Linked DNA regions of Lytechinus pictus. The protein of the gene in region 3 purifies or fractionates together with the protein of the main gene of each other region. This does not show direct contact. Links are inferred from orthologs where the notes say so. Each region holds a gene or a part of one and is shown on either strand. Other genes may lie near its edges. The genes, in order: inhibitor of growth protein 1-like, histone deacetylase complex subunit SAP30L-like, SIN3-HDAC complex-associated factor-like and trinucleotide repeat-containing gene 18 protein-like.

Region 1 (7,720 bases), on a different chromosome or scaffold from region 3:
CATTGTTCATCTCTCGATGCAGTTTATATACAATATTTATACAAATATCTACATGTAGCATGTTGTGCGAGATGCTAACATATTAAATAAAATGCTTGAAAAGTAAAATAGGCTCTAAAAATTTAGTCTGTGGCGATCATTTTTTCTTGACTTCCGGCAAGCATTTTGGACAGTACCACTTGCCTTTGGGTTTTGATGAGAGTCCAACGCATCCAAAATGAAACCATTCATACGGACAGTCTTTATTGTCACATCCAACCATATCTCCATAAGAGACTTGCTGGCAAAGACAGTACGTGGGTTCGTTGGGGTCGATGGGAGGATCGATGGGCAAGATGTCCCTCTCCTTAGTCTTATTACGCTTCTTCTTCTTGGCCTTGGGGTTGTTGTCGTTCTGCTGCGGCACCCTGTGGTTGTCTTTCTCCTTGACATCACTGTTGCGGCCCCGTCTCAAACGCTTGCTTGCTTTCTCCGCAGGCGCTTCCTGCTCTATGACCACTGGGGCAGCCTTCTTCGTCTTTGGAGGGGGGTCAGGAGGATGCTCAGGCTTCTCCATGATCTCGAGATGGGTGCGATTCATGTTCATCTGGCGGAGGCGGTTCTCAACGATCTCCGATATCTGAGATGCAAACTGGAGCTTCTCGTCTCCAAGCTCCTGACTCTGGATGAGACATCGATGGAGGTGGATGAGGGTTCGCCGTTTGTTGTGATTGTCCAGATCCTTGGTCACCAGTGTCTCATAGAGCTGCTTGATTTCTCTCAAAACACCTGAAGATGAAAAAAACAAAATAATTACAAGTGCTTCATGCTTTTAAGTTCTTTCAAGTTTGGTGTAGATCTAGGCCTTCTTTTCGTGTTAATATTGGTGTTAGTCAGCTTCTTACATCAGTGCATGGCTCCAATTGAATAATGGGTACCTTTTATCTGACATAGGACAATTTAAACCTTCACAGTAATAAAATAATATCATCCCAACCATCAGTTCTATTTTTATCCCATTATTAAGTAAACATAACTTAAGCAGAAATTCCCTGAAAATATAACCCAACTTGCCTTCCTGGTTATTTAATCAAATTTTTTAAGCCACCAAATTAGTTTTTTTGCCTAGGTATGAAACGTTGCAAATGGGAATAAATTTAACTACTGTAACAACTGTATATTTTTGTTACCGTACCAAAATGCCGATAAAATTATATCATTATCAAAGAATAAAGGAATTTATCATGAGAGTTGTGGTGCTGTCACATCAGCAACTACACATACTTTCAGCTTCCCAATATTAAATTTCAATATAAAACAAGTGGAATGCCTCTGGCGGTCTCACCTGCATCACGCGATTCAATATAGCAGCAGTGCTGACTTTGAAAACTACTATAACTTGCACAAGATGTTCAGTGATACTTGGTTACTCTTATGTCCATGTTTTATGAACTAGACCAATACACTTACAGAGATATGATGGTAATTCAACAAGTACCCCCAACATGGCCAAAGTTCATCGACCTTACATGACCTTTGGCCTTGATCATGTGACCTGAAACTCGCACAGGATGTTCAGTGATACTTGATTACTCTTATGTCCAAGTTTCATGAATCAGATCCATAAACTTTCAAAGTTATGATGGTAATTCAACAGATATCACCAATTCGGCCAAAGTTCATTGACCCTAAATGACCTTTGACCTTGGTCATGTGACGTGAAACTCATGCAGGATGTTCAGTGATACTTAATTAACCTTATGTCTAAGTTTCATGAACTAGGTCTATATATTTTCTAAGTTATGATGACATTTCAAAAACTTAACCTTAGGTTAAGATTTTGATGTCGATTCCCCCAACATGGTCTCAGTTCATTGACCCTAAATGACCTTTGAACTTGGTCATGTGACATGAAACTCAGGCAGGATGTTCAGTAATACTTGATTAACCTTATGGCCAAGTTTCATGAACTAGGTCCATATACTTTCTAAGTTATGCTGTCATTTCAAAAACTTAACCTCATTAGGTTTAGATTTGGTGTTGACGCCGCCGCCGCCGCGGTCGGAAAAGCGGCGCCTATAGTCTCACACTGCTATGCAGGTGAGACAAAAACCCCAAGAAACATGAAATATTTTCTAGTCACATTTTACCATGGCCATGGCTGGGCATCAGGATCATGAATGAATTTGTCCATTAAATGACGAGACAAGAAAGCCACAAATTAAATAAAAGGAAAAGAATAACTCGAGCCGAGGGCTAGCCTAGCTAGTCCCTATTCAGAGCTAAGTTAGGCTAAGCATAAAGTAACTTTTAGTTTTACCCAAGGGTTGGATAACTTAAGTAACATGTATGGTGTGGTGCTGTCGGCATCACTTAATTGTTTCATCAGAAGAACACATATTTTCAGCCTCACAGTCACATGTGTCAAAGACACTGAGACACCACTCATTCATGAACAAGATCTACTATCTAGATAGTACTGTAGATACGTCATCATAGATAGTCATACAAATTAACCCCAAGCCAAGTGCCCAAGAAACATTCCACGTAGTCGTAGATAATATATTTCATTTTGACATATATGGATAATTTTTTGGTGTTATCTTCCCTACAAAAAAGACAATAACTGACAATGAGAGCCAAACAATGCATCCAGGGTTGGGACAAGATTGACGACTTCATCTGGAGCGGCGATTTGAGGTTAATCAGCGGAATGCCTTGTCTTGCTAGCCGATAGGCCGGGGGACGCGCAGCTTACATTCCCGTTGGTGTGAAATAGCACTTACTCTGATACGTATTGTCGATCTCACGGATTTGAGACACGCTCCTTTGCAGATCATTTGGAAGCGACTCGATGCAATCCAAGTAGTCTTCTACATAACTAGTGGTTTGGTACATATTTGCAGCCGAATGACTCATCTTGATCACAGATTCAGTCCAGGATTAACGAAATAATATGAAAATTCGAAAACGTAGTTTTCAAAATGTCATAGCTCCGACGACGTTGATTGAGCAGAATCAAACATTAAAATACTGCAGCGCATGCGTAATTAGATGAAGTTGAAAGGTCAATCTTCGACCGTGCCATTTCATGAAGGTAAACTATTTGTTGTTAAAAAGTTCAAAGCTTTGAGAATAATCAAATTTTGATGTTTTTTCTTTCTCAGTGTAGAAATTCCTTAATCATTAAGCTTATTCAAGTTGAAAAAGATGGAAAAAAAATTGAGAATATTTTCAAAAAGAAATTATTATCATCGCACTATATCTACTTTCATTTTAGCCGAATGGAATATTCTTACCCGGAAGTTAGAGTCGCGGGAAATACGGAACAGCTGGACCGACCCAACGTTGGAATTGGAAGGCCAGCCGGAGCCGCCGGGGCATGCACTAGCTAGTGCATGCTCTGCATCATGCGATCCCGCTGCACGGGAGGCCACACGTCCTGCCGCGCCGGCAAGAGCAACTGGACGAGTCGACCCGCAGTTTACTTTTGGAAGGCAAGTAGTTGTGTTCACCCTTTTTTCTTCTACCTTTATTTTCTTGCAGTTACAGACTTATCATTCCAGTAGCACTGTTTTTATTCGTGTCTAGCCCTATAACGTGAGGACGAACAAATTTGCAAGGAATAGGTATACATGGTATAGGACGGTCTGAAAATGATAATGATATTTGGGGATTTAGCTCCTGTGCAATTGGAATTACTGGATCACAGAATTGTGACAATACCATTGGATATGTGTGCGTAAGAGTTGCAGGTGCCGGTAAATGGGATGCCCCCACCCATGCATCTCTCCCCGGCCAGGCATAGGCATAACGTTGTCATTAGAGCTTAGACTTTAGATTTGTCTTCTATTGAAGTATGAACAAGGTTATTATAACCTTTTTTTCTGTTACTTTGTTAGCAGTACTAGTAAAGTAGAGCTGAGCCTTGACTCCTTGAGGCGCTGGTCAGAAAATTGGGATCGTCCCACTCAGACTCAGTCTCAGAGTCAGACTCAGTCCCAGTTTACAAATTACAGGGACTGTCTCGGTTTATAACACTCACACAACATGCGAGGTTAGTATACTATTACTAACCTCGCACAACGCATGTCATTTCATAATGTCTAATTTTGACGTTTTCATTCATCACACGAATGTGAGAATATGAAACACGCCTAAATCTTCACAATATACTAAATTTAGTAATCTTAATCTTATTAATGTAATCTAATTTTGAAAATCAGCACGAACTTATCTATAAAAATGGATTTTAAACGCTTACCTCCAAATCTCAGCCAGTTACTCCGTCCGATCCTTAATACTGCGGTGGAAATTACGCAAACAACAATCGAAATGCGAATTTTTCCTATCGAACAGTCTAGATTCAAGTCGCCGGCGCATAATAGGAAATTGTACCAAAAATCAACAGGTTGCATGTCACGTATAATCGCTGATGGCGCTACATCATAAAATAACGCTGAACAGTGAAAAAAATGCGGAGCGCCTAGAACGCAGCCAGCAGTACAGCTGATCTGACGTAAACGACGTAAACAAGCAAGTTTATTTAATAATATCGCGCGCCCTCTCTGTGCGTATAGAGAGAACCAGCTAATCGGGGCCATGCCTGCTTCGACATCAAGAAAAATCATCGATATAAAGTACCAGAAAGACAGAGAGGAATTGAAATTGGCTTCATATCGTTCGGTAAGTTTCATATCCAAAGCTTACTTCATGTAAAATGTAGATAAATTTCAAATTTTTAAATAAGAATAAAAAACTTATTGCAAGTGCCGTGCCAGCGGTTATCCTGTGCACGGCGGCGGTAATGTACCCATAGGTGGGTTTATAAGGATTCCTTCAGTCTTCACACAAGAAATCTAGGAAAGTTCATTCACCTGTCAAGTGCCAACACCAATCAAGTGTGCTAGTCAATGTAGAATTCTAAACATATCAGGTTTCATAACAAGATTATTGGAAGACAGTAGTCAGTAATTCATGAAAAATAGACGGTGAACTGGAGGGAATTGAGGTCATGCACTGAGTGACTGAATCTTTTTTTTTTAGCACTCTCAATTCCCGTAATTCATTGCTGTCTTTGTCCCGTAGGGGGAAGTGAAAAAAAAACGTCCCCATAAACAAGGACATTCTCAATTTATCAAGACATGATTTGTCTTGTGTTTATGAGGATATCCTTGTTTTTTGGGACAATCCCAATTTTGGACGAGCGCTTCGACTGGTTAGTGTCACTCATTCAATGAACAAGGTTATGATATAACCACTCATTCAGTGAACAAGGTTAGTGTTACTACTCGGCCTGTGTGGTGAAATAAGGTTGGCAATGTTTGGCATATTTTCTCATTTTCTTTGGGACAAATGCTTGATTCTTTGACACTGTCAGTTTCCATTACAGCTATTCATCATAATATATTAAACTTATATATATTTTAAACTTGGCTCTTAAGTAAATTTGATTCTTTAAATTATTTTTTTCTTAATTAAAAATAGAGATAGGGAGGCGCGATAGCTCATCCGGTAGAGCGGGGGTTTCGGATTCCGGTGACCCGGGTTCGATTCCCAAGTGGTGCGCTAGTGCCCTTTGCAGAGGCATTAATCCTCATTACCAGGTCCCTCGGAGAGGACCTTAAGCCGTTGGTCCCCTGGTTGCTTGCTCACAGGCATTCGTGTTTTCTTAGCAGTCAGGTAAAAAAAAAAAAAAAACCCGCTAAAACCTCAGTATTGAAAAATGACAATTGTCTTGCCATATTACTTTCCAACAATAGAGGGCGTACAAAAAATATGCCCAAACTTCAAGTTTTCGAGCGCTCTGGTGAATACAAAATTACTCCCAAGTTACTAAATTGCAACTGTATGGAAATTAGTATTTTTGGTGATTTTAATGATTTTTTAAAGTGTGTGCTGTGTATTGGCATTGGCATTGGCATACCATGATAGTCAGTGGCGTAACTACAGGGGGGCATGGGGGGGGGGGGGCACGTGCCCCCCCAATCGGCTGGCCAAAAAAAAAAACGGGGGAAAAGGAGAAAAAGAACGAGAAAGGAAGAGAAACGTAGTGGGAAAGAAGAAATTATTGTTCATTTAAATGTTATATTATAGTTATGTTTAATGTTATATTACATAAGAAACATTTTTTTTTCATTACTTTATATGAAACATAATTTGCTCAGGGCCTACATGTATGTCTTCATTGTTCCTGGTGCTCGCATTGTCTGTTTAACGAGATATATAATCCTGTTGTACTCAAACCTCCCGTTTTCAAGTCAATATAAGCCAAATATATTTCTCGCACTTCGAGTTATTATTGTTTTATATAGTGACATAATTATGCTTCTTTTTCATGACTACTTAAAGTGATCGCCCCATTATAAGGTCTTAATATTAAACATTTCCTGTCCGTGCTTATGTTTGCATCAGTAGATTGGTGAGATGTGTCTGCTCTTCATGAATTCCTAAAATCAGTCCTTAAAATGTCCCTTTTTCTGATCTGAATACCAAAAATTTTCAGCTCGCGCTTTGCACTCGCATAATTTGGATAGTAAAATACGTATGGTCTTCGCGCAATCCTACAAACAAGCCTTAAAATGCCCCTCTTCAGGTCTGAATTTTTTTAATTTTCCCTTCTAAAGTCCTTGCAATACTCGATTAGGGAGATGCAGATGATAATCATGATTACAATGAGTGCAATTGCTTCATGTGTTTAGATGTACAAAATCAGCAAGCGCTTGGTACTCGAATAAGATGACTATGGTGATTGGTGAGATATGTATACTCCTAATGGATTCCTAAAATATAGTCCTTAAAATGTCCCTGTTTGGGGTTAATATATACAAAAATTTCAGCTCGCGCTTCGCGCTCTCATTGTTTGTTTAGCGAGAAAGGTACGTATCATCATAACAAAAATTTGCTTATAATGTCCCTTTTTAGGTCTGAATATCAAAAATTTTCAGCTCGCGCTTCGCGCTCGCATTATTTGATCAGTGGGATACATATTTGTTTTATGGCACTGTCCTTAAAATGTCTCTATTAGGTCAGTAAACCTGGCAACTGAGCGCGCTCACTAAGTGACTCAAAAATTTTCTGGTGCCCCCCCAATGCCGTGACCCACGGTACGCCACTGACCATAGTCCTACCTGTAGATTCCCCACAGGCAAGATGGTAGGGCAAGTCCAAAAAAAGGTCACCCTAGAAGGCAAAATTTCATCCTTAATTTATAAGAAGTTATCTTTGGTGGGGTAAGAAAGCCCAAATGTTGAATTTTAAAATTTCATTAGGAAAAATGTGATAATATGCATATTTATGCTAATTTGGGGCATTTAATTTGCATAATTGGTAAAATGGGAGTTACGTATGGGACAATTTCAAAAACTCATAGAAAATAATAACAAAATTTCTGAGATTTAGTCATAGGTGGGACATGGACCCCCTAACATCTTATTACTTTGGGGGGAAAAAAGTGGTGTCATCTAATTAATTATGCAAATTAGGTCTTGTCCAAGGATGGAATGTCCCATAAGTAACATTGTGAGGATGTTTTTTAAAGTTATTTCTCATAATACAATACTTGTATTGTTGCATCTCTGGGAAGTTCTAATTTATTAAGTATGAAAATGTTAAATCACAAAAAGTTTGAAAAATAGAGTTTACTTTTTAATTAAAAGTTAATTTAAAAAATGTTACGTATGGGACAACATGTTATGTATGGGACATTTACACATAATATCAATGGGGAGATTTGTGTACA
Region 2 (7,032 bases), on a different chromosome or scaffold from region 3:
CCCACTTCCCCCATCCTGAGCTATGTCACTGCTGACCATGGCAAAAAAATCATATAAATACCTCTCTCAAAGGGGTTTGTAGGATCGTTACTATTTCTACAAAGTAACCCCCCCCCCCCCACACACAAAAATAAAAACTAATGAAGTCCTTTTCCATGTGTTAACCCTAAATAGACTGGGCTATTTCGACGCCTAAGAAGACTGGGGGGGGGGGCTGATTCAGCCCCCCCTTATGATCTCGGCCGTCGACCGCGCGATCGCGACGAAAATTGGCACACGCGTTACCCATGGCATTATCAACAAAACTATAATATCAAATTCTGCAAAAAATCTCATTGCTCATTAATTATGCTAATTTATGCGTAAAATCATAAGTTTGCTCTAATTAATAAAATAATGCCCCTAAAATGGTAATTTTTGTTTCACATACTCTAGATAGGCATCTGATCAAATTTATTTTTAAAAAATTTCAACATCACATTTATTTTCTTATGTATTCTATTGTTTTCTAAATTTCTTATGTATTTCTTTGTTTTTTGACTTTTTGTTTTTTATTGTTTTTCAATGGAAATTATCGGGGACTTTATTTTTACCATTAAAAAGATAAAATTAATTGATTTTAAGCAGTAAAAGGAAAAATAATGATACATTTATGAATTTTGGCTAAAAACACTATTTGCATTGGATTTGTACACAAATTTACGTTTTTGAGTAATTTTGGGTCTGCATGCACTTACAAAATGTTGCGTAATTTCGGAACCGCGTACCCGGGGGTCACAATTTTGGTCTCGAAAGTCGCGCGAGACTTGAAAGTAAAAAGTCAGCAAGTGACACGGTCAAAAACTTTCAAGCGGCGGATTTATCGCGAAAAATGTCGAGGGGGGGGCTGAATCAGCCCCCCCCCCCCAGTCTTTTTAGGGTTAAGAATATCAATTTTCATTAGAAAACTGCTTCTTAAAATGGATTCTACAACAAAATAGTGCTGCGGCAAGAAATAAACATACCCCCACCCATAATTTGTGATAGTTCCTTGAACTTACATCAGCAAGTTGTGCCTTGTTGAGCCCTGGTTTGGTCTGAATCTTATAATGTCTCTTGTATCTTCTTAAAGTATTCACTTGTAAATGAAACAAATCAACCTGTAGAGAAAGAAAATAGTCAGTGACATTCATGACATTTTTCAGTAAATGTTACAAACGTACAGTATGGTATGGGTTTATAGTTTATCTCCCTTGAAGCTTCGGGTATTTCAAGAGCAATTGGGTTTCATGTTTTAATGAACTCTATCAATAGAGCAGTTCCAAGGTAATGGAGAGATATTCAGAAACAAATTTTAGCATTCAAACAAAGATATCACCCATATTTAAATAGTTATTTTCAAAGAAATGGTACCTGACAGTAGTTGATGAAGCCCACTTTAAAAATAATAACATTTGTTATTTTGATCCACTGAATTTATGAGATATGAATATTCATAAACATGGTTACAGAGTGACGCAAAATGGACATGCATATTTGAGGAGAAAACATATTGCTCAAACTCTGTGAACTTTAAATGGCTATCACAATTTTGAGTTATTGATTGGATTCTATGTTGTTCTAGCTTTAATATGCTGCATTACATTAAAAATTGGTGTATTTTTTCAGTAATTACAACTTCAAACATAAACCCATATTCGGTTACGGAGTGACATCTGAAATATTCACCCACAGGCAACGTAAAATGAACTTATATTTAAAAAACTTTCTTTTGATATGATGTAAAATGATGACCTTCAGATTATCCAAAAGAAAATTTTACAAAACAAGCAATAGTTTTCCGCTAAATTGAAATTAAGGAAAAAAAACATTCATAGTCCCATGTATAGAATTTTTTGTATGGTTTGGATTCTCCTATAAGGAGATGCGTAAGAAAAAAATTTGTGTCTAATTATGTTCCCCTTTTGTATTTATGAAATCCCATATGAGTTTTGATAGAAAAATTTGATCCAGAATTAAAATAGAGCCAAAATAAATTTTTGGAAAATTTCCACTTTTGCTTGGAATTGCCCAATACTTGTGTTCCCGGGGAAACTGCAAGTATATCACACTTGTATACAACTAAGGATCTAAGATTTTTTTTTAAAGGAAAGGCCTATCAGTCTTTATTGTTGGGATATATAAAATAAAAAAAAATAAATAAAAAATTCTTATTTCTGAGTCATCATGATAAATAAATTGGTGAATGATTGAAAAATGATTCACAAAGAAAATACCTCTGGTACATCAAGATCATGATCTGGAGATATTCCACCATCTTCATCACTTCCTTTCTTCCTCTTCTTGGTACTACGAACACTTTGTATCATAGACTTGTGAAAGTCACAGATATAGATATGCCTCACCTGTTTAAAAATACCATGAAGATAGATAATGATTATTTTAAAAAAATCACCAATATCAAAGAAACAGTGTACTTCTATGACTTTCATGATCACCTAATTATGGCAATGACAACTTCATGAAGTTAATACATCTGAAAAAAGATGATGCTGAAAAAAGATACAGTCACTGCTCACAAGAGAGAGATTGGCACTCACTGACAAGCAAGTAAAAAGATAAAGAGCTCTAATAAGGTTAATTATAAATTATTTCACAAAATTACATAAATATAAATGGTTTCTCACAAATATAATTCTTTCAAGAACATGTTCACCTCTCAATATTGTCATTTGGAAGTTGATGTATGTGCATACTCACACTGTGATCAATAGTCAGTTTTAATTTCCTCTGTTGAACTGTCTTAGCAATACGTTTACTATAGCATGCATTCCCTGCAGGTCTTGAACAGCGCTGACCATCGTCCACCAAACAACATATCTGACCATGTCCGGAGTCACGACTGTCATCCTCTGTTGTACTAAAGCCATTCATCTTGCGCTGCGATGATGTTGAAGACGACAATTTTGTCGTCGAAGGATTCATGCTCGATTTCATTGAGCTAGATTTAAATGGGCTGCTTTTCTCTTTCATTCTGGTATGGACAAAAGATAAGAAAAAAATTACCAATCCAGGCACTGTTCATGAATATATTTGCCTACATGATACATACATAGAGGAAAACTAGAATGTCACTGGTCGTCTTCATTTAATGTTTTGTTGAGGGGAAAAAAAACTTCTTGGAAAACATTTTACTAGATTTTAAACAGGGAAAATAAATATTAGATTACCAACTGTCACTTTTCAAATACACACAAATTCTAGATTGCTATTTGAGCAAAATGATAATGGATAATTCTTTAGAATAAAAGTTAATACAGAGATACCATTTACATGCATCATGATGCATGTGTTTGATAAGACTTGCATATTAAAGATATACATGTATTCATGCCTATGTTTGACAGTACAACACTCAAGAGTAAAATAGTTAAACTAAAGAAATGTAGTGAAGTTTCTCTGATCTCTGTGAATCAATAATGTCACATGGATAAACTCATATATGGTAACAAATCTGCATTTATCTTTTTATTGGAGACTTGGAGTGCATAATAAATGATGAATTAAACAAAATGTGTGACAATTTCCATTTTTGTCACTGCCATGATCTTACGTACTGTTTTGTACATCTATCTGAGTTTGCTATGCACTATTTATTTACTTTACTATTATGAGTGTGTGTCTATACAGAGATTTTTTTTAAAGTCCACATAACCTGAGAACAATACAAATCTTTTATTCTCTTTCAATCATTTCATATTTACAATGATAGAACAATTTATATATTACCACAAATCAATTAGCAAAGTAAAATAACAGCAAACAAGATTTACATACAAGATGTACAAAGTGAAAGTAACCTAGTGGTAGTGGCTGCAGAATTAATATTTTAGAAGTTTGTTTTATTCATTTTTAATTAATGTTTTTCTTTATATTTTTCGGGCCACCAAAAAAAATTATGTTATATTTTCAATTATGGTTATGAATACTTTCATTTCTTATGAAGATTGAAATGAATATTTTAGGAATTAATTAATGGTATACAAAATCGACCTCTACATGAAAACACAATAGATTGAATTGTATTTATATTAAAAATATGCAGGGTTTTTTTAAGAGACTTGAGTTTGAATGACTGTGGAAATCTGAGTATGTATTAATCTAATTATTATTGTTCATTTTTTATACCTAGATTCTCATTTTTGCACTGTTTGAATCACTTGTTTACTGCAACCACCCTGCCTGTGGGGAATCTACAGGTTGGACTATGGCATGCCAATGCTGTACAGAGCACACACTTTAAAAAATATCACTTTTGTGACCAAAATTACTTATTTCCGTACAGTTGCAATTTATTTTTCATTAGTAACTTGGGAATAATTTTTGTATTCACTAGAGCGCTCAAAAACTTGAATTTTGGGCATATTTTTGTGTACGCCCTCTATTGGTGGAAAATAATATTTTTAATTAAGAAAAAAATAATTTAAAGAATCAAATTTACTTAAAGGGCCAAGTTGTATGACGAATAGGTGTAATGGAAACTGTCAGTGTAAAAAAATCAAGCACTTGTCCCAAAGAAAAAGAGAAAATAAGCCAAACATTGCCATCCTTATTTTGCCACACATGGAGATTTAACCGAGAACAAGGTTATATCCACTCATTCAATGAACAAGGTTATGATATAACCTTGTTCACTGAATGAGTGGTTTGAATAATCTTTGTCTTTGAATTAATTTCTTGCACATATTTTAGTTCCCGTGCAAGTCTGTTGATACGTACATTACAGAATACGAATTGCAATTCCAAATTACTTAGAATCTTCATTAAAATTATAAAAGAAGTTTAAATAAATGCTAATCTTGCACTGAATTCAGTCAACCAACAACAGGCAAGAACTTGAACTTGTCACCATGTCCATGGCCATGCCCATGGCATGGCATGGACTTCTCGACTTGGTCCACTCACACAACATGCGATGTTACTAAACTATTTTTTATTGACTTGGTCTTGGTCACTGCACTGATCAGTATATGGTATCATTTTAAACTTTAAAATATCAAATTATGGAATGGTCTGTGTGCAAATAAATGTGGCAAAATCGTGATATAGGCCCCGCTCGAGAAAAACTTGTAATCGATTATACTACCTCAATATCTAGGTTGCTAACTTCAGCTCACTATATATACTCGTGATATAGGCCCCGCTGCTGTGTTGAATGGCTTAGAATGTCCGTTTGCGGGGCCTGTTTCACGAGTAAAGTACTATAATCGTTATATAGGCCCCGCACTACGGCACTTCAGACACTCCAACACAGTAGCGGGGCCTATATCACGAGTATATATTAAGCTTGCATCCTAAGATAGTCGCGAAACTGGCCCCGTCCAATGCGCTTGTCCCAGCATTCGCACGTGTGTGGGGCTCGGATGACGGCTATAGTAGTATACTCGTTATCGAGGTCCCTTACGCTGTTATATAATGGAAAATAACGTGGTCGTGGGGCTTGTTTCCCCGGCCGGTGAGAATTATCATGGGCGGCGCTGTAGGGGGGAGGGGGGGGGCTTCAGTTTATTTTCCAAATAAACAAGGAAAGAATATCATGGGCGGCGCTGTAGGAGGCAGGGGGGGGGCTCCAATTTATTTTCCAAATAAACATTAAGGAGAGATAATAATTTACTTCTTCAGAAATTTATTTGTCGATTTATTTATATTTATTCATTAATCATTTGATTTATTTGTTTTCAGTTTTTTTTTCTTTTGTGATGTAGAGAGTCAGAGGTATCAATTGGTTTTTAATTATTTTTATGTTTAAAATTACATTTATTTATTTATCAACCTATATATTTTAATTGTTTAATTAATGTATTTATATTTATTCATTAATCATTTAATTCATTTGTTTTCAGTTAATTTTTTTTTGTGATATAGAGAATCAGAGTTATGATTCGTTTTTAATTCTTTTTATTTGTGGAAGTTCATTTAATTTATTTATCAATCTATTTTAATTGATTAATTAATGTATTTATATTTATTTATTAATCATTTAATTTATTTGTTATCAGTTTTTTCCTGTGATATAGACAGCCAGAGGTATCATTCGATTTTAATTCTTTTTATGTGTGGAAGTTCATTTATTTATTTATTATCTATTCATTTATTTATCATATTTTCATCTTTTTGTTATCTGAAGTCTTATGTTGATACAGGGCCATACATTTCATTTATTTTTCATTTATTTTTATTCATTCTGTAAGTTATAATGGCTATACAAAATGAAGACGGCACTCATTGTAAAGCTTAGAATATCTTCTCTTTCACCTGGTATCCTCAGAAGATTCCTCGATCATTCAGGCATGAATGACTTTGAAAATTTGAAGAAAGTATAATCTGAATTAAAAAATTATCGTTTACCTTCTTTGAATTAGTCGTAGTTGAACTTGGGGTGTTATAACCTTATTTTTCGTTACATAAAAGGAATTTATATTTTGTTTAAAGGTCAAGTTCACCCCAGAAAAAATGTTGATTTGAATAAATAGAGATATATCAAACTAGCATAACGCTGGAAATTTCATCTAAATCGGATGTAAAATAAGAAAGTTGTGATATTTTAAAGTTTCGCTTATTTTTCACAAAAAAAGTAATATAGGCCCTATATGCACAACTCATTTACGTGCAAATGATACAGTTCCGGCCTCGCTATTTTTTTTTTTTTTATTATACAATATTTCATTTTTCACATTTTTTACAATAAGGGCCAACGTGAATGAACCATATGTTCAGGGAGAAATTGTTTCACTTGACAATGAGAAGAAAATGGGAAAATATCATATTTCATATAATACAATACTAAAGAAATAGTGAGTGGATGGCATCATCAGTTTCCTCATTTGCATATCGACCTGGATGTGCATATGTAACTATTATTTCAAATTAAGCTAAACTTCAAAATGTTATAACTTTCTTATTTTATCTGATTTTGATGAAATTTTCAGCGTTATGAACGTTTTTTTTTCCTCTTTATATTCAAATCAACTTTTTTGTTGGGGTGGACTTGGC
Region 3 (7,472 bases):
CAAGAAATTCAGGAAATCTTAAGGTGATGTAGCAATTTTTTGTTTTCTTATAGTCAGAAAAGGATATTAAATGTATCAGAAATTCCTCAAATGAAAAAGCATGTGACATTTTGATTACATTTCAAGAGTTTCTCAAAATAGCAGATTTGCATGATGTAGTACAGAAAAATTTGAAAATTGTAGATACTTCTCACAGATTGACATTTTTCTTCATTATGATTACTGAGGATTTACTACATTGTATTTTGTTGTTCACAGAATTATAACATTTTCATACTTTCACTTTCGCAGCTGTTCAAGTGTCACAGTACAAACATTACTTTGGCAAAATTGGAGGTCATATTTGTACATGTTTGTTCGTCAAATATTCATGTAAATATTAAGTATTTGCAATGGTAGCAATACTCTCATTCGGGTTCTTTCTTGCCAGTTTCAATATCAAATTGATAGTACTGTTATAAGAAACTTTATTTGTGAGGAATATTGTATGCAATGTAATATTATTGTCACAATTTAATGTATTCATGGCAGTTAATGTATTTGTATGCTTGTAATATAAATTATTGGTTCAGTGTGTGTTTAGGACTATTCATTATTTTGATATAGGATTGAATAAGGTTTTCTGTCTTAATAAGATTTTGGGGAATATGTATATATAAGAAGTTGACATACACTTAATTTTTTATCAATTAATAGTATACATGTAAAATTACTCATAAGTGAGAAGTTTCACTTAAAAATTCAGTTTTCTTCTGGTAGAAGCATTGTCGTCAGGTTACCATGGAGTAAGCATTTTGCGTGTTACTACGGATATGTGGATGTAAGAGATAGAGAGTCTGTGTGTGTGCGTGTGTGTGTGTGTGCGTGTGTATGTTCATCCAGTGTTCATCCAAGGTCAGCTGAGACAAGCCCTCCTAGAAGGAAGTTCACTTTAGTCAGATTTGTTTTCTTAAAGAAATTGAAAGTTTGCCATTATTTCAGGCAGTAGTTGCATAAGTGAAAAATTGCTTTCACTTGTAATTGATTCTAATGGGTTATGACTGAATATTTGAATGATTATGGTACCCTTCATGTAAATGGATTGCTTTAAAACACACCTGTTCATTAATGTACTCTCATTTAATATACAGTGGCCTGAAAGTTTGTGTAAGGTTAGCAATGACAACTACTTTAATGCATGCAAGGTGAATTTTACTTGTTGAATAGATTTATTTACAAAATGTTTAAGTCAACTGAATTGCAAACAGCAGATAAAGTAACACCAACCAAATTTTATGGTTGTTCTTACAACCTTTGTTGCTTGCTCTGACAGGTCCAACAAATACATAAAGAGTTTATGCATGCAAAAAGGATGCCACTTATTGTAATACCATTCAGTACATGGTAATTACCTATTACCAAATCCAGAGGAACAAAGTATTCATGAAATTTGACTACATTAGTGAACAGGTCTGTAATGAACATCAGCATTCTTAGGACATTTCTGTGTACATAGTTTCTGTATAATTGTCATCTTTGAAATTTGATTATGCAACACATTCTACTTGCCAGCATTTTGCCCATGATCCTTACAAAAATTGTACTGTTTGTGAAATATGGCATTGTCAGTTCTACTGCATGTTAATGCAATAAAGACTTTTCAAAGTTTCATTCAAAAGTTTTACTCAAGTGTATTTTTGTCATTGGAAGTTGTGCCAATTACAGTAAAACATACTGTAAATGGGGTCAATTTACAGTAAATTACTGTAGGGAGTGTACAGTACTGGGGGTAAATTGGGAAGGTGTACAGCATTTTACTGTAGGAAGTGTACAGTACCTCACTGTAATGCAAGGGAAATTTACAGTAGTTTACTGTAATTTAACCAAATTTACAGTAGCAACAATTCTAAAATTTGGTAAATTTTACAGTAAGCTACAGCACTTTTCACGGTATTTTCCTGTAGCTAGTTCAAATTTACAGTAATTTACTGTAGGACGAAACTACAGTAGCTTACTGTAAAATAAAAATTACAGTAAATTACCGTGCAGCAGAGTTGCCAGTAATTTACTGTAAAATCTACAGTAAACTTTTTACAGTTGTTTCAACCCTTTTCTGGTGTGGACCGATACCGGGCTGGTGTTAAATCAATACCGGTGTTTTTGCAATGTAGTGATAGGCCTATATATAGGGGGCATCAACCCCAACTTTTTTTACAGTGTACACTGGAGTCTGTATGACAGCGGGTTTTAATATGTGGTCACAGACCCTGATTGAAACTTTGATCAACAAGTGGGTCTACTCGCAAAGACTAGCACATATAAAACTTGCTCAAGTTTCAATATTCCTAAGTGCGTGGGCCTTCAGTATATACACGCAATGTATTTTTCAGGCTGCACATTCAGACCCTTAAATCGAGTGAAGTGTTTGTACAGCAGACTAAGCGGGTTTCGCCGCGTCTAGGGGGGGGGGGGGGCAAAAAGGAGGGGAAAAATGGAACAAAGCAGAAAGAAAAGTTAAATTATATTGGTCGTAGATATTTTACCTGTTGTTCTTTTGAGAGAGGAAAATAATCTCAGTGTTGGGTTGTCTCCACACCACAGGCGCGTATCCAGGGGAGTGTTTCATCAACATTTTCATCCGACAAGCTGTCAGATCTGACATCTTTCTCTGATGTTGATTGGCTGAGAGATACTGTTACTATGTAACTGTTGGATAAAATGGGACTTGTCGGATAAAACGTCCGACAAGTCCTTTCATGAAACGCCCCCCAGGAGGACGGGGATTAGGCGGGGCGTAAATCGTAAATTGCGGGCGCACCCCATAAAATTTCACCCCCCCCCCCCTTCATCCAAAAAGAACCCCATTTCTGGTCAGGATATCCAACAATTTTTTGGAGCTCGCGCTTCGCTCTCGCATCACTCATTAATAAATACGCATCCTTATGATTATAAAACTTAGTGCTTACTATATAATGTCCCGTTTTTAGGTCTAATCATAACTATTATCCGTTCATTGGGTTTAATGTAATGACTAATTATTCCAATCCAGGGCGGAAGTAAGGGATCGAGTGGGCGAAAAAGAAATAATGGTATAGTACCAACTCCGAAATAAAAATGAAAAGAGATGGTCGTACCACAATATGAGTTGCAACCCAAAATTTCACAGCTTCCTAAAATTGGCATAATGAGCCGAAAAATGAGGGGCTACATAAATCATGGCGTAAAAATTGTTAAAAAGTTGCATGCGAGCAAATCGAGCAAGCAAAAGTTTTGACATTTAATTACAAAAATCTAATTTTGTGATGGATTTTGATGAAATATTAAAAAATAATATAATATTCCACCCTTCTTTTTTTCCACTATCTTCTTTTTTCTTGGTTTTTTTTTTTTTTTTTTTTTTGGGGGGGAGGGGCAAGAGCCCCCAAGGCCCCCCCCCCCCCCCCCATCTGTACGCCACTGCTTCCTAGATACGAGAACATTAATGTACTGTAACAGGGTGCATTTTGTAAAATGCTGACTATTTGTTAAAAGCTACTGTTATCCTTGTATCTGATTGGCTCAGCCCCAGAGCAAATTGGAAAGCACTGGGAAAAAATGAATTATGAAATACTTCATGTTTAGACATTTATTACTTCAGCGCTGTCTTAAACAGGTCAGAATTAAGAGGTGTGTAACAATGACAAATTATGTATATATATTTATATCTATATATATAGTACAATGCATTACCACTTTGCCTCATTAATATATATATATATATATATATAACAAGCGCTATATACTCTCTATACATTCCGTAGATTGAAAGTCAATCAAATAGATTGTGGTCAAGGCCAATCCAAAATTCGATCGAAAGTGAAATCACATAAGATTGAATTCTAAATTTAATACATTGAAAATTCCAATCCAATTTTGGATTGGTCCCTGATTGCAATCTATTTCATTCTAAGGAATTTAGAGAGTACATACTATGCAAAGAAGCCTCTCCAAAAACAAACAAAATAACAAAAATACCAATATAACTATGTTCTGCAGATTTTTTGTAACAGGAATGATGAGCATAATTATGTTTGCTCATCTAGTTTTCAAAAGTACACTGGTTCCTCTGACCTCCTCAATGTCAACGAGAACCATGTTAGGGAATCACTTTATGACACGCCCCCCCCCCCCCAAAAAAAAAAAGCAAAAAAATGTTGGTCAACAGGATTTGAAAACCATAGATAATATATTTTTAATGATTGATTATCATTTCCAAGACTGAATAGGTGCTTTTTTTCACACGTTGGATTCAGGACAGGACACGGAGGATTAGTATATTGTTACTGGGCCGTGCTGAGCATTGTCACGGCACCCCCAGTAACAATAGATAATCCTCCGTAGCCAGGTCCATGGTTGGATTCAGTCCTATATTAAAATCAAGGACATGCAAAATCAAATCTAAGTTGTAGAATTTAACACAATCCAATAGTCTTGAATGAAAAACATTTTCATTACTTCGGCAAGAGAGGGGGCTATACCAGAAATAAATTGATTGGTCGTGAAAGACATCGTGACCACTACTCTGATCGAACACTCTTTTCATTTGTTTTTTTATTCTGAGGATTTCATATTCTATCAGCTTTCTCCCGAAGTTTGGTAAATCATATCTCCAAGAGCAATCAGTGACCTTTATATCTGTAAATTTCCAAGGTAAGACACTTTCTAGATTCGTTTATTTTTGGAAGAACATGATGTCCTATTTCGATTTTCAGAGAGATCGACCGGCGTGCCGGTATACTACCAGAACACACGTGGAGTGTACGGAGATGAACCCCGGCGCGGCGCTTGCTCACACATCATTGCCTGCGCCTTTTTCGTGTATTAGCTCGTGCCTCGGTAAAAAGTAAAACTGAAAAGGAGTGCTAAAAAATTGACACTCATGAATTTTAGCTCCATCGGCTATGACAATATGTATTCTTTTCACCATTTCCACCATTATTTTCCAACCCTCGAACTTATGCTTTGTTTCTTGCTATTTCCTCTTATTTTCGATTTCCCCCCCGGAAACAAGAGATTTCCTGTGTTTCGCATGTTTTTGTTTTTGCCCCCTCTCTCGTCTCCGATCCAACAAAGGGTTCCTCCGGTTGGTCCTGCTCGATCGACCGGGCCTTGCTGGGGGTCTTTGTTCGCGTGCCTGGCACGTGCCACTCGCGAGCCGTGGAGCCTCACAAAGCAATATATGGCCAGGATTTGGGCTTTATTCCACCCTTTGCTTTGTTCCTATTGGGTGGCTCCCAGACCAGAAGGGCCTGTAATTTATGCACACTAATCCCTGCACTGTGTGGTATTGCTGTGCTTGAGACTGAGTGATGTTTTGTTATTGTGGTCCAGCCTTTTATATGAGTCCAGAATTTGCTGAACAAAGACAAGTTTGAGGGTATTTTTCTCACATTTGCAACTTGGCAGCTCAGAAGTGAGGTTGGATTTTTATTCCCAAGGAACTTGATAAATTATAAATTAGGACATTGTCATTGACATTAGTGCTACTGTGAGTATTTTACACATATTTTATTCCAGATTCTGTTGATAATGTAATGATATGATTATGATACTAGTACAGTAGGTCTAAGTTACTCTATTCCAATTTCGATCATTTATATTTGTGGATAGTTGTTGACAGAAAGTTATCAGCTTCTTTGTGTGAACTTACATTATGATTAGGTAGTGATGATTGCAAGCCATAACTGTTGAATTATTCAACACATTTCAATATTGGATAGAATTACGATGAAAATATACGTACACTGTGCATGCCAATGTTGAGTGGATGTCACATTCCAATTATATGTTGAATCTCCATCCAAACAGTCATTGTCATTATGCAGACAGTCTCGTTTATTTGCTCTGACAGCATTTAAAATGGTCTTGTTTAGTCTAGGACTAGGTAGCCTATTTTTCTATCTCATTGAAATGGATATCATTATTATTTTCTTAGGGACAGTAAATTAATTTGTGTCAAGCCTTGATGCCCTTGTTGACAGCTGATCTTCTAAATTTAAATAAGATAAGTTTTATGATGATGTCATTTATTGTCACACACATTATACTGTATGTGTAATCATATATTTAAAAAGGCCTACTTGTAACTTTCAATCAGTGCAGAACGTATTTTGTGTACATTATTAATTTCATCAATATTACAAATCAATATTGTCATAGTTTGCAGCAGGGAGATGGCTAATATAAACTGAAACCTTCCACTTCCAGCCTTAGATACTAATTACATGAAGATTCACATGTACATGTACCATTTATAGGCAAGTTTGTGTTCTTGTCAAGACATTTTGTTTATTCATTTTAGCATTCATTGCATGCTGAAATGACACAACATGGCATTCAATTTAGATTCTTTCCAATGTCATGACTACACACTTACTGCACTTGTATATTATTTTGTACGCCAAGTAATGTATGCCAAGTTCTTTGTTTAGAGTATGAGGAGGAGGTCCCATTGTTGATTTGGGGCGTCAGTGCAAGCTGTTGGAAAATTATTCTTTTGATCTTTCTATCCTTGTTGAGCTTCTGTGAGCCCTTTGTTGTCCAATTATGTAACCCCCCCCCCCCCAGGAACACAATGACAGTTAACAATACATGTACAGTACATGTATGTGGTACAATGTAGTGTTATTTGCCCACAAGTATGCATTCTATTCATGAAAAATCATGTAAAAAAGTTATTTATTTATTTCTTTTACATTAAATTATTCATATGATTATTTATTCATTATTTTTCAATTTATATATTTATTTATTCATTTATTCATTTATTCACTCATTCATTCACTCATTCATTATTTATTTATTCATTCATTAATTAAAAAGTCAAAAAGGGGCCTAAGCTTTCGATCCTAGCAGAATCTTCGTCGGAGGCAAAATGACAAACATATAAAGTGGAACAACCATAATATAGACCACAAACAAGCTACAGCAACACTAGAAACAAGGAGACAAAAGGGGCATTAGTGAGTAGAGAAGACCAATCAGGTTAGTGAAGGGGATGAAAGAAAAGGAGTAGGCAGACACAAAGGGAAGTTAGTGTAAGTAAGGCCAAGAGGGATTAAGATAATGAGGCAGGCAACATCAAACAGGATCTGGAACAAAACAGTGATAGAGGGATGAATAACTAGAGAATTAGTGAGAGGTGGGTCAAACAGGTTACAAAGAAAGGCTGGACACTCCAGTTGGCCGCCATTTTAACCTCCCCAACCACTCCATCACTCACATGATGCTACAGGGCATCGAATCTTTAGGTACCCGTCCTGACTCAGTCCGTACTAGCAGGGAGAAGCTTTGGATGAGACGACTTCGCACCACCCAACCTCATGGCCTGAACATCCAAGAGGGGAACGACTGATTTTCTTTCCTATCCACTTTCAATTTATATATACATATAATTTTTCCCCTCAGCTCTTTTGAATAGTTACATTATAGTTTCTTACTCTACTTTCCTCCCA
Region 4 (7,414 bases), on a different chromosome or scaffold from region 3:
TAAAGAATTCCACCCTTTTTCACGTAAGCCCCAAGGTTTTCTAGAAACATTGCGATTTTGTATTTCTTAGGATGCATGATGCACGAAAGAAAGTGAAATCTTAAAGTGATGATAGTGACCCCCCAAAAAAAAACGATCTTAAAATTATTACATGTTTAATTTTGACCCCTTAAATTTAAAGTAAAAGCAAAAAACAAAACAAATTAGAATAAAAAATTGGCAAACTGATGCGAAACTGATATCCCTACTTGTTCAAAAGTGTTCTATTACATGAAATTATGATTACTCAAATTTTGTCTTCCAAGAGCTGAATAAATTGGATTGAGAACAAGATTTTCCTTCCTGCATCTTATTAAATAGGAGGACAAATCCTGTACACATGTATGAAAAAAATGAAATAATTTATTATGATTTCATATAATACCATAAGAAAAGGGAAAGTGGGGATGTGATATCATCAGCCCACTCAATGAATATTCGTGACAGCGTGTATCCAACTGTTTTCTCAAAATATTGCTAAATTTGACAATTCAATAACTTCGTTATCAGATTTTGATGAAGTTTTAAACATTTTGCTTGGTGAATTATACTCTATTTATTTCTATATGAATATTTTCAGCCCGGTGTACCCCTTTAAGATCTAACCTGAATTGTTTGGTAATAAAAAAAATGAATGTATGCAAAGCAATTTATGGAACGAACAAAAATGATTTCCAGTTGGTACTTAAACATTTAGAGATGGATCACGAAGTAAAAAGCAGAGATCTATGAAGGAATTTTCCTATTGGAGGAAAACATCCCAACAATTTAAAAAGAGTGCCTCCCGTTGTAATGCGCAGATCAGAGTGCACAAAATTAAGAACGTGAAATTCATCATAACCATCAGACCATGGGGCTATCAACAATGCATTTACTATAACTTATATATTTAAAAAAAATAAATTTAGCCACCCCCTCTCCTAATATATATATGCTGTATATACATATAAATATATATAATTATGTGTGCGTGTGTGTATATATATATATTTGAGAGGATGCTATAAATACAGCGAGAATAAGCAATGAGACGTAGCCGGGGTTCAGTTCATCAAGTTTAATCACAAGCTTTCGGCCATAATTGGGCCTTCTTCAGGTATCTGAAGTACAAGAGAAACATGTGGCCATAATGTACAAACAAATTTGCGGAGTATATATATATATATATGTATATGAAGTATTTTATTTTTGTTCAATATTATGTCTCCAAAATGTATATGTATCGATATCTCTCACCCCCGCCCATTCCTTTCGTATTATACTACTGGGACCTCGGCAAGCCTCGAAGGCATCAGTGGTTCTTCCATCACTCAGAACATGCTCAGAACTGTCATGTAGAAATGGTCGTGAACGAAACATGAAAGTAAACTTCTGTCTCCATGAAAAGAGAGAACTCAAAAGACCTGTTTCATGAAGACTTGCTATAATAACAGATACACAATCTTCATTAAAAGAATTACTACTATCAGCCAATCAAAGCAAAGGATTTCCGTCGCTTTTCACTTGTATTGCAAATTTACAAGTTTTACGTAACGGGGCCCCAGATGAACCAAATTCACTGCCAGACAACGTACACACCTTGCTAAAATGTGAGAGCCACTCTTCACTCACATGCACGCCGCATATGTCGGCCGGGATCACTCGGGAAGAATGAATATGAACTCGCCTCCATGCTCTAGGTGCTTGAGGGTCAAGTTTGTATCACGTGACCCAGAATCAGCGTTGTTACCCTATTATGAATTGGCGCCGAGCCAACTTTATAATTTGAAATCCATTGACAACACATCACACGTGTTGGGATGATGTATATGAATTAACAATCCGAGGATTAGCTGGACAGGTTGATGGTATAAAGTATTGATTTATATTAATTTTTTCCAATTAAAGAATAGGCCTTTCCAAGGATGGTGGAAGATATCCCCTACACCGAATAAAAACTCACCATCTTCTTGGTGGTGTTAATGGCAAAAGCATACGTTATGCTGCTCATGGAGGACCATGGTTCTGCTTAAACCATATCGCTCACCCTTTGCGATTTACCCAAGTAAATTCAATATCGTCGTCAAAACACTCTTGGGTTGTCGTCTGATGGTCAGCTCATAAGAGGAGACGAAATAAATGATACATTGATTCTCCTACTATGTCGTTCAGTGTGCTTTTCTGGTAAGCGCGCCCACGATGATGTTGATACACCTGTAAGCCTATCACCGAAATGAGATGCTAGACTCAATCAGCATCAACTATAAGAAACATGCAACATGAACGGGGTCAAAGCCCTTTTCCCGCAGCACTTAAAACCGATGTCGGGGACATTGCATGTGAAGCGTAATCTTGTATGTAGTCGTAGTAGTCATGAACGTCAAGGCCTTGTTTTCCACTTTCTTCGTCCCATCGTGGGCAAAGCCGCCCCCATTTTCTATTCTTTTGAACGATTTTATTCGTGAGCTTGAGAAAAGTCGGCACTCGTATTGACGAGGGGATCCGTGCTACTTCATTAAAATTCGCGGTGAATGATGTTATGGAGAAGGAAGAGTTATCGTGAGACATGTTGCCTCAAATGGGGACAAAAGATCACAGTTCTTGTTCACTTAAACTGAAAATCTAATTAAGCCATAATTGTATTGTGAAGGGAGGTTTGAAAATGTTCAGTCTGTTTTGCAGATTTGATGGGTTTGTCATTATTGAACGAAAAGCTGCCAATTCTGTAATGAATTTTAGATTCTAAAGCTACACACACATATAAACATATATATATATATATATATATATACATATATTGCTACAACTATTGAATTATTTAAGATTTATATGGCAGTGTCGGCGAACTGTTATCCGCTATCATTTTGAAAGGATTTTGTGATGTGTTTAGGGAGAATTTATACCAGTCGGAATACAGGCCTTCATGGATTTCTGATGGACATGGTCTGACCATGGAGTAGTAGCTCTATGGTCCTATTAGGTCCATGGTCTGACTGATGCATAATGCTCATGATTGCAGTATAGAATCGCATTTCGTATGTGCTTTTGGCGATGACCCTTTTCCATCTAATCACCACGCAGCAATCAAGATACCCAGTCTTTCTATATTTATTACTGCCGGTGAAGTCGTTCCTGTGCCTTTTATCAAAGTAAGCTTGATTGAGATCTCTAAAGCTCAAATAGCAAGTCGTGGACATGAAATGATGTGTCCATGTTTATGCATGCCCTTTATCTTGATATGCAGAAGAACCTTTGAACACATTGCCAGAGGCACACCAATTCTGATGCGTGCATTTAAAATGCGCACGCAGATGATACCTGATGTGGGTAAAGGGGGCGCTGGGGCGCTGGAGACGATGAAAATCCCACTAAATGAACACTACGGTGGTCGTGAGAATAGCTGCTACTAACCTGGCGAATTTGTCTACGTCTCGCTCTGCATACACAAGTTTCTATTTGGTTTTGTCGTCTTGAATGCTGTTTTCCTCGCGAGACATAATCGCCCAATTCATGTTAATTTTCTTGTGCGTTTTCACAAATGCAAACACGGTGAGGGACTTTGCAAGCAGCAGCTATGTCACGCTTGCTTTCGAAAGTAGAAAACTAGAGGAGAGAGGGAGGAAAGCAGCGGTGTCCCCGGTAGGCCTGGAGAATAGCATGAATTGAGTCGCCTCAATTCGCTCCCTCATGCATGCGCGAAAGCGGAGGAGAATTCATTGCATAGGAAATAAGCCAGGCACAATAGGAGGTGGTTGAGGGCTCGTATTATTATCAAAGAAAAAGAATATGCGACTAAAGTGAGTTTTAGAGGGGAAGAAAAGGGGGTAAATGTGCGTGTGTGTGTGTGTGTGTGTGTGTGTGAAAACAGAGAATAATAGAATAGAAACTCAGTGAGCGGACAGCGATAATGAAATTCGTCTGAAGGGAAGAAATATTTTACCCAAAGAGAAGGAAAAATAATTTCCACGATGTTTAGGCCCATCATGTTTGTGTGTGTCAATTCTCAAAATATAGATCTTGGCCAATGGTACACGAATCCCTTGTTTTTGCTTTTGTGTTCCACAACAATCGGGGAAAGTGATATTTTGAGAAATGTGTGGATAATGGTTTTCACAACCTCTGACATTCTTGTGTATTCCTCTCGGTTTGGTTATTTAAACACGCTTACAATATAGATGTGGCTATCTTTTCGAAGCATCGATAGAAAAAAAAAAAACTCGCATTCCTGTATGTTTGCACCATCCGATACATGAATGAATGAATAAGAATCAATGAATAAATAAATGAATAGTAAGTTTAAATGTTTCAAAGTCTTTCCAAATTGTATGTAGGCGTAGGCGCTCGAACATAGACGAAATACTTACCAGTCTCCTCATTTCATTTGGTTATTTACAGGAACTCGGAAGATAATGGCTCTGCTGCCAGAGACCTCACCATGGAACTTATAAACAGTAAGCTATAAATCATCTAGCATTTTGCTAGGGTTTCCGTTTGTCTAGGCTAACCGGGTGTTAACCCGGAAAGCCTAGGCATTGGAGGCTAGATTCGGCTTGTCAATTCGAACGGGATCTTCACTGGCCAATGGCACAATCGCCTTGCGTTCGGCCAGGGCACGGTGCAGCATCACCAACCAGCTTCGACCACCATCGAGAGAAGGAGGAACCAGAGACCTCTCTGAAACCACTGGGAGAGCAGAAGCAGCCAAAGGAGCACCTAGAAAAGGGACAACCTCGAGACAATCCGTCAGCACCGAAGCAGCAACAATTACCAAAAGACACTTCATCACCTCCAAGACAAGAACCCAACCCTGATAAACCGGAAACAGGGAATGATCGACAGCCTACGTACCGCCAAGTAACCTTACCGGCTTCAGCAACCTCTGCAGAAGCAGCAGCAGCGACACCAGCGGCAGCCCCTGTATCAGTTTCCGTATCAAGCAAGCATTCTCTTCGTAGTCCAGTATTTGCTGATCTTCCTGTATCATCGGCGTCATCGTCCAAGATCAACGAAACATCACACCCCAAACTTGGGGGATCGAAATTACGAGGAATCAATGTTGGTACCAGTAGCGGTATTCATAACTCTACCATAACAATCACAACTAAAGGGAAGCCAACATATGACAGAATGGAAGCTTTAGGAGGTGAGTGTTGCTCTTGGTTGCTCTCTGTGAACTATGAAGAAAATGCTTCATTTCATACTTCCTGTTGACCGAAAATATTAGTCATTCTTATGGACAAATATTGACAAAAATTTTCCTAGTGCAAAATTCGTACAAGTGCAAGTTTATTGCTCGCAAATATTGCACCCTTTTTCCAGAGGCTACATATAGGTATGTTTTCAGAATGACATTATTCTGTATAATAAAAAGAACGTATTTTTTCTTTTAATCGCGAAACTATATGTATTTATTAATTTCTTTGCGATAAGTTCATGTCCGTAATTACCATGGATAGATGATAGATAGTCATGGTAGGGGAAGATCAAGAAGTGGGAGCATGATGTCGACTATGACCACATGCAGACTGTGTATATGTCACACTACGATTTACCACATAAGCTGATTTAATAAAGCATTAATAGACATCTGGAAATATGCTGACTCATTAATCATAGCCACTTTGACAAATAACGGCAAGTGATAGAAACAAAAAGGAGCATTATAGAGATTACTTTGAATGCGTTTTGACGTTGGTATTATTGCGGCAGTCAGACGCCGATCTTTGGAGAAACGGATGAAATTATCTCCTACCAATTGCAAAATGGCGCTGAATTAGGAAATGGGAAAACATAGTCACTGCAGTGAATTGTGTGTTCGTGGGACAAACGGATTCCAAACTTTACCCCTTGGATTTAGTAACAGGAGGGAAACGCAGTTTTATACGCCGAAATCGTAGTTGGTGAAATGTCAAGTTATGTTTGAGATGAAGTATTAATGATTCGGATTCAGATTCATATATTGGTACATATAAAAAAAAACCATAGGAATTAGTCCTCCACTGGCAGTGCATTATACACAGTAAAAAAAATTATACAAAGCTGTTTACTATATGAACCTTACAGTAATTGTTTAAACAGTTTAAACAAGTGTTTAAATCTTAAGCAACAATGTTTAATTTTCAATATCTAATTTTCAATAAATTAAACATGATTGTTTAAACGGTTAAACAAATGCTGTAAGGTTCATATAGTAAACAGCGTTGTATAAAATCTTAAACAGCGTTTTTACTGTGTAAATACATAAATAAACACTAATGACGTATGTATTTACAAATATTTAACATTGAAGGAATATAAATGAACATGTATTGCAATACAATAAAAAGGAATTAGCAAAATAATTACTCATACGACAGAATGAAAAACGAGTAGCGAGAGATAATCGAGGAGCATGGATGGAAGAGATCATGTAAAAGCGAGAAGAAAGAAGTCAACTGGATAGAAAAATGAGACATAGAGTGGCAAGTAAAGAAAGGGAAGAGAGAAAAGGGAGAATTTGGGGAAAAGAAGGGAAACAGAGGGAAAGGGAGAGATAGAGAGAAGGGAAACAATACAATATGAAGATAATATACACAGCTGCACTTAAAGTAATTACATAGTAAGAAGAATACATTAAACACCAGCTTTGTGATGCATGAATGGAAATGACATAGGCAAGAATGGGCAGGAGGTCGGACAACTAGCGTTTTAACATGAAATTTGGACTGACCTATAAATGATATAATTTACATAAAGAAATAATAATAATATAGACAGTGCAGACTGGCAAGACATTGTCAAGGATAATGACGTTCGCATCAAACATCCGTCAGGCTAATTATAAACTTCGGGGCAATGCTCCACAGGCACACGAAAGTTGATGAGAAAGTCACTTGCAAAGAGACGGGCATTTTTTGACCGGCAAGATGTTTTCCAGACGGATAATTACTTGAAATGGCAATAGAATAGGATTGTGTGCAAAACCATGGACGCATATACATGTATATGAAAACTTACTGGCTGTCACTGTAATTTTATGCGTTTTTCTTGAAGTCGGGTGTATACGACATTTTACCCGACCGGATAATAAAATGCCTCTTTATCAAGTTCATGGTATATTTTCACCACCCCTTAATTTTAATTAGTTCAAGCCACAAAGTGTATTCTTTTTCATGATTTTCTATGAAAACAAAAACAGTAACTGGTTTTTTTTTTCGCTTATCATACTTACGGTTCTACCTTGGATCTAAGTCTAATTATATGTTTTGATAAAGATCTGTATAATTAGGATTAGAGTCTGAGAAAAGCTGTTTGTCCAATTAGCTAATTCCAAATCATTGGGCCATTCTTGATTTAAATTTCATGTAGATTTTAGAGTTTACATGTCACCGAGACATTGAAAATCCAATAGTGGGAT

What was found.
Region 1: the proteins of SIN3-HDAC complex-associated factor-like (region 3) and inhibitor of growth protein 1-like purify together in Homo sapiens (affinity purification with mass spectrometry; 3 studies listed by BioGRID and IntAct, counting the BioPlex papers as one, with this or other methods). This does not show direct contact. The link is inferred for Lytechinus pictus from reciprocal best matches to the Homo sapiens genes SINHCAF and ING2.
Region 2: the proteins of SIN3-HDAC complex-associated factor-like (region 3) and histone deacetylase complex subunit SAP30L-like purify together in Homo sapiens (affinity purification with mass spectrometry; 3 studies listed by BioGRID and IntAct, counting the BioPlex papers as one, with this or other methods). This does not show direct contact. The link is inferred for Lytechinus pictus from reciprocal best matches to the Homo sapiens genes SINHCAF and SAP30L.
Region 4: the proteins of SIN3-HDAC complex-associated factor-like (region 3) and trinucleotide repeat-containing gene 18 protein-like purify together in Homo sapiens (affinity purification with mass spectrometry; 3 studies listed by BioGRID and IntAct, counting the BioPlex papers as one, with this or other methods). This does not show direct contact. The link is inferred for Lytechinus pictus from reciprocal best matches to the Homo sapiens genes SINHCAF and TNRC18.

Annotation. Positions count from the first base shown.
Region 1 is NC_087249.1:47,989,625-47,997,344, reverse strand, and holds the start of inhibitor of growth protein 1-like, read right to left. Parts: upstream 3,022-7,720; 5' UTR 2,899-3,021; coding exon 2,766-2,898; intron 769-2,765; coding exon 137-768; 3' UTR 1-136. UniProt on the Homo sapiens protein: Seems to be involved in p53/TP53 activation and p53/TP53-dependent apoptotic pathways, probably by enhancing acetylation of p53/TP53. Component of a mSin3A-like corepressor complex, which is probably involved in deacetylation of nucleosomal histones.
Region 2 is NW_026974140.1:19,466,445-19,473,476, reverse strand, and holds the start of histone deacetylase complex subunit SAP30L-like, read right to left. Parts: upstream 3,013-7,032; coding exon 2,740-3,012; intron 2,385-2,739; coding exon 2,256-2,384; intron 1,140-2,255; coding exon 1,041-1,139; intron 1-1,040.
Region 3 is NC_087263.1:5,710,221-5,717,692, reverse strand, and holds the start of SIN3-HDAC complex-associated factor-like, read left to right. Parts: upstream 1-4,471; 5' UTR 4,472-4,668; intron 4,669-5,178; exon of another isoform or gene 5,179-5,506; intron 5,507-7,472. UniProt on the Homo sapiens protein: Subunit of the Sin3 deacetylase complex (Sin3/HDAC), this subunit is important for the repression of genes encoding components of the TGF-beta signaling pathway.
Region 4 is NC_087254.1:4,947,175-4,954,588, forward strand, and holds the start of trinucleotide repeat-containing gene 18 protein-like, read left to right. Parts: upstream 1-4,403; 5' UTR 4,404-4,599; coding exon 4,600-5,161; intron 5,162-7,414.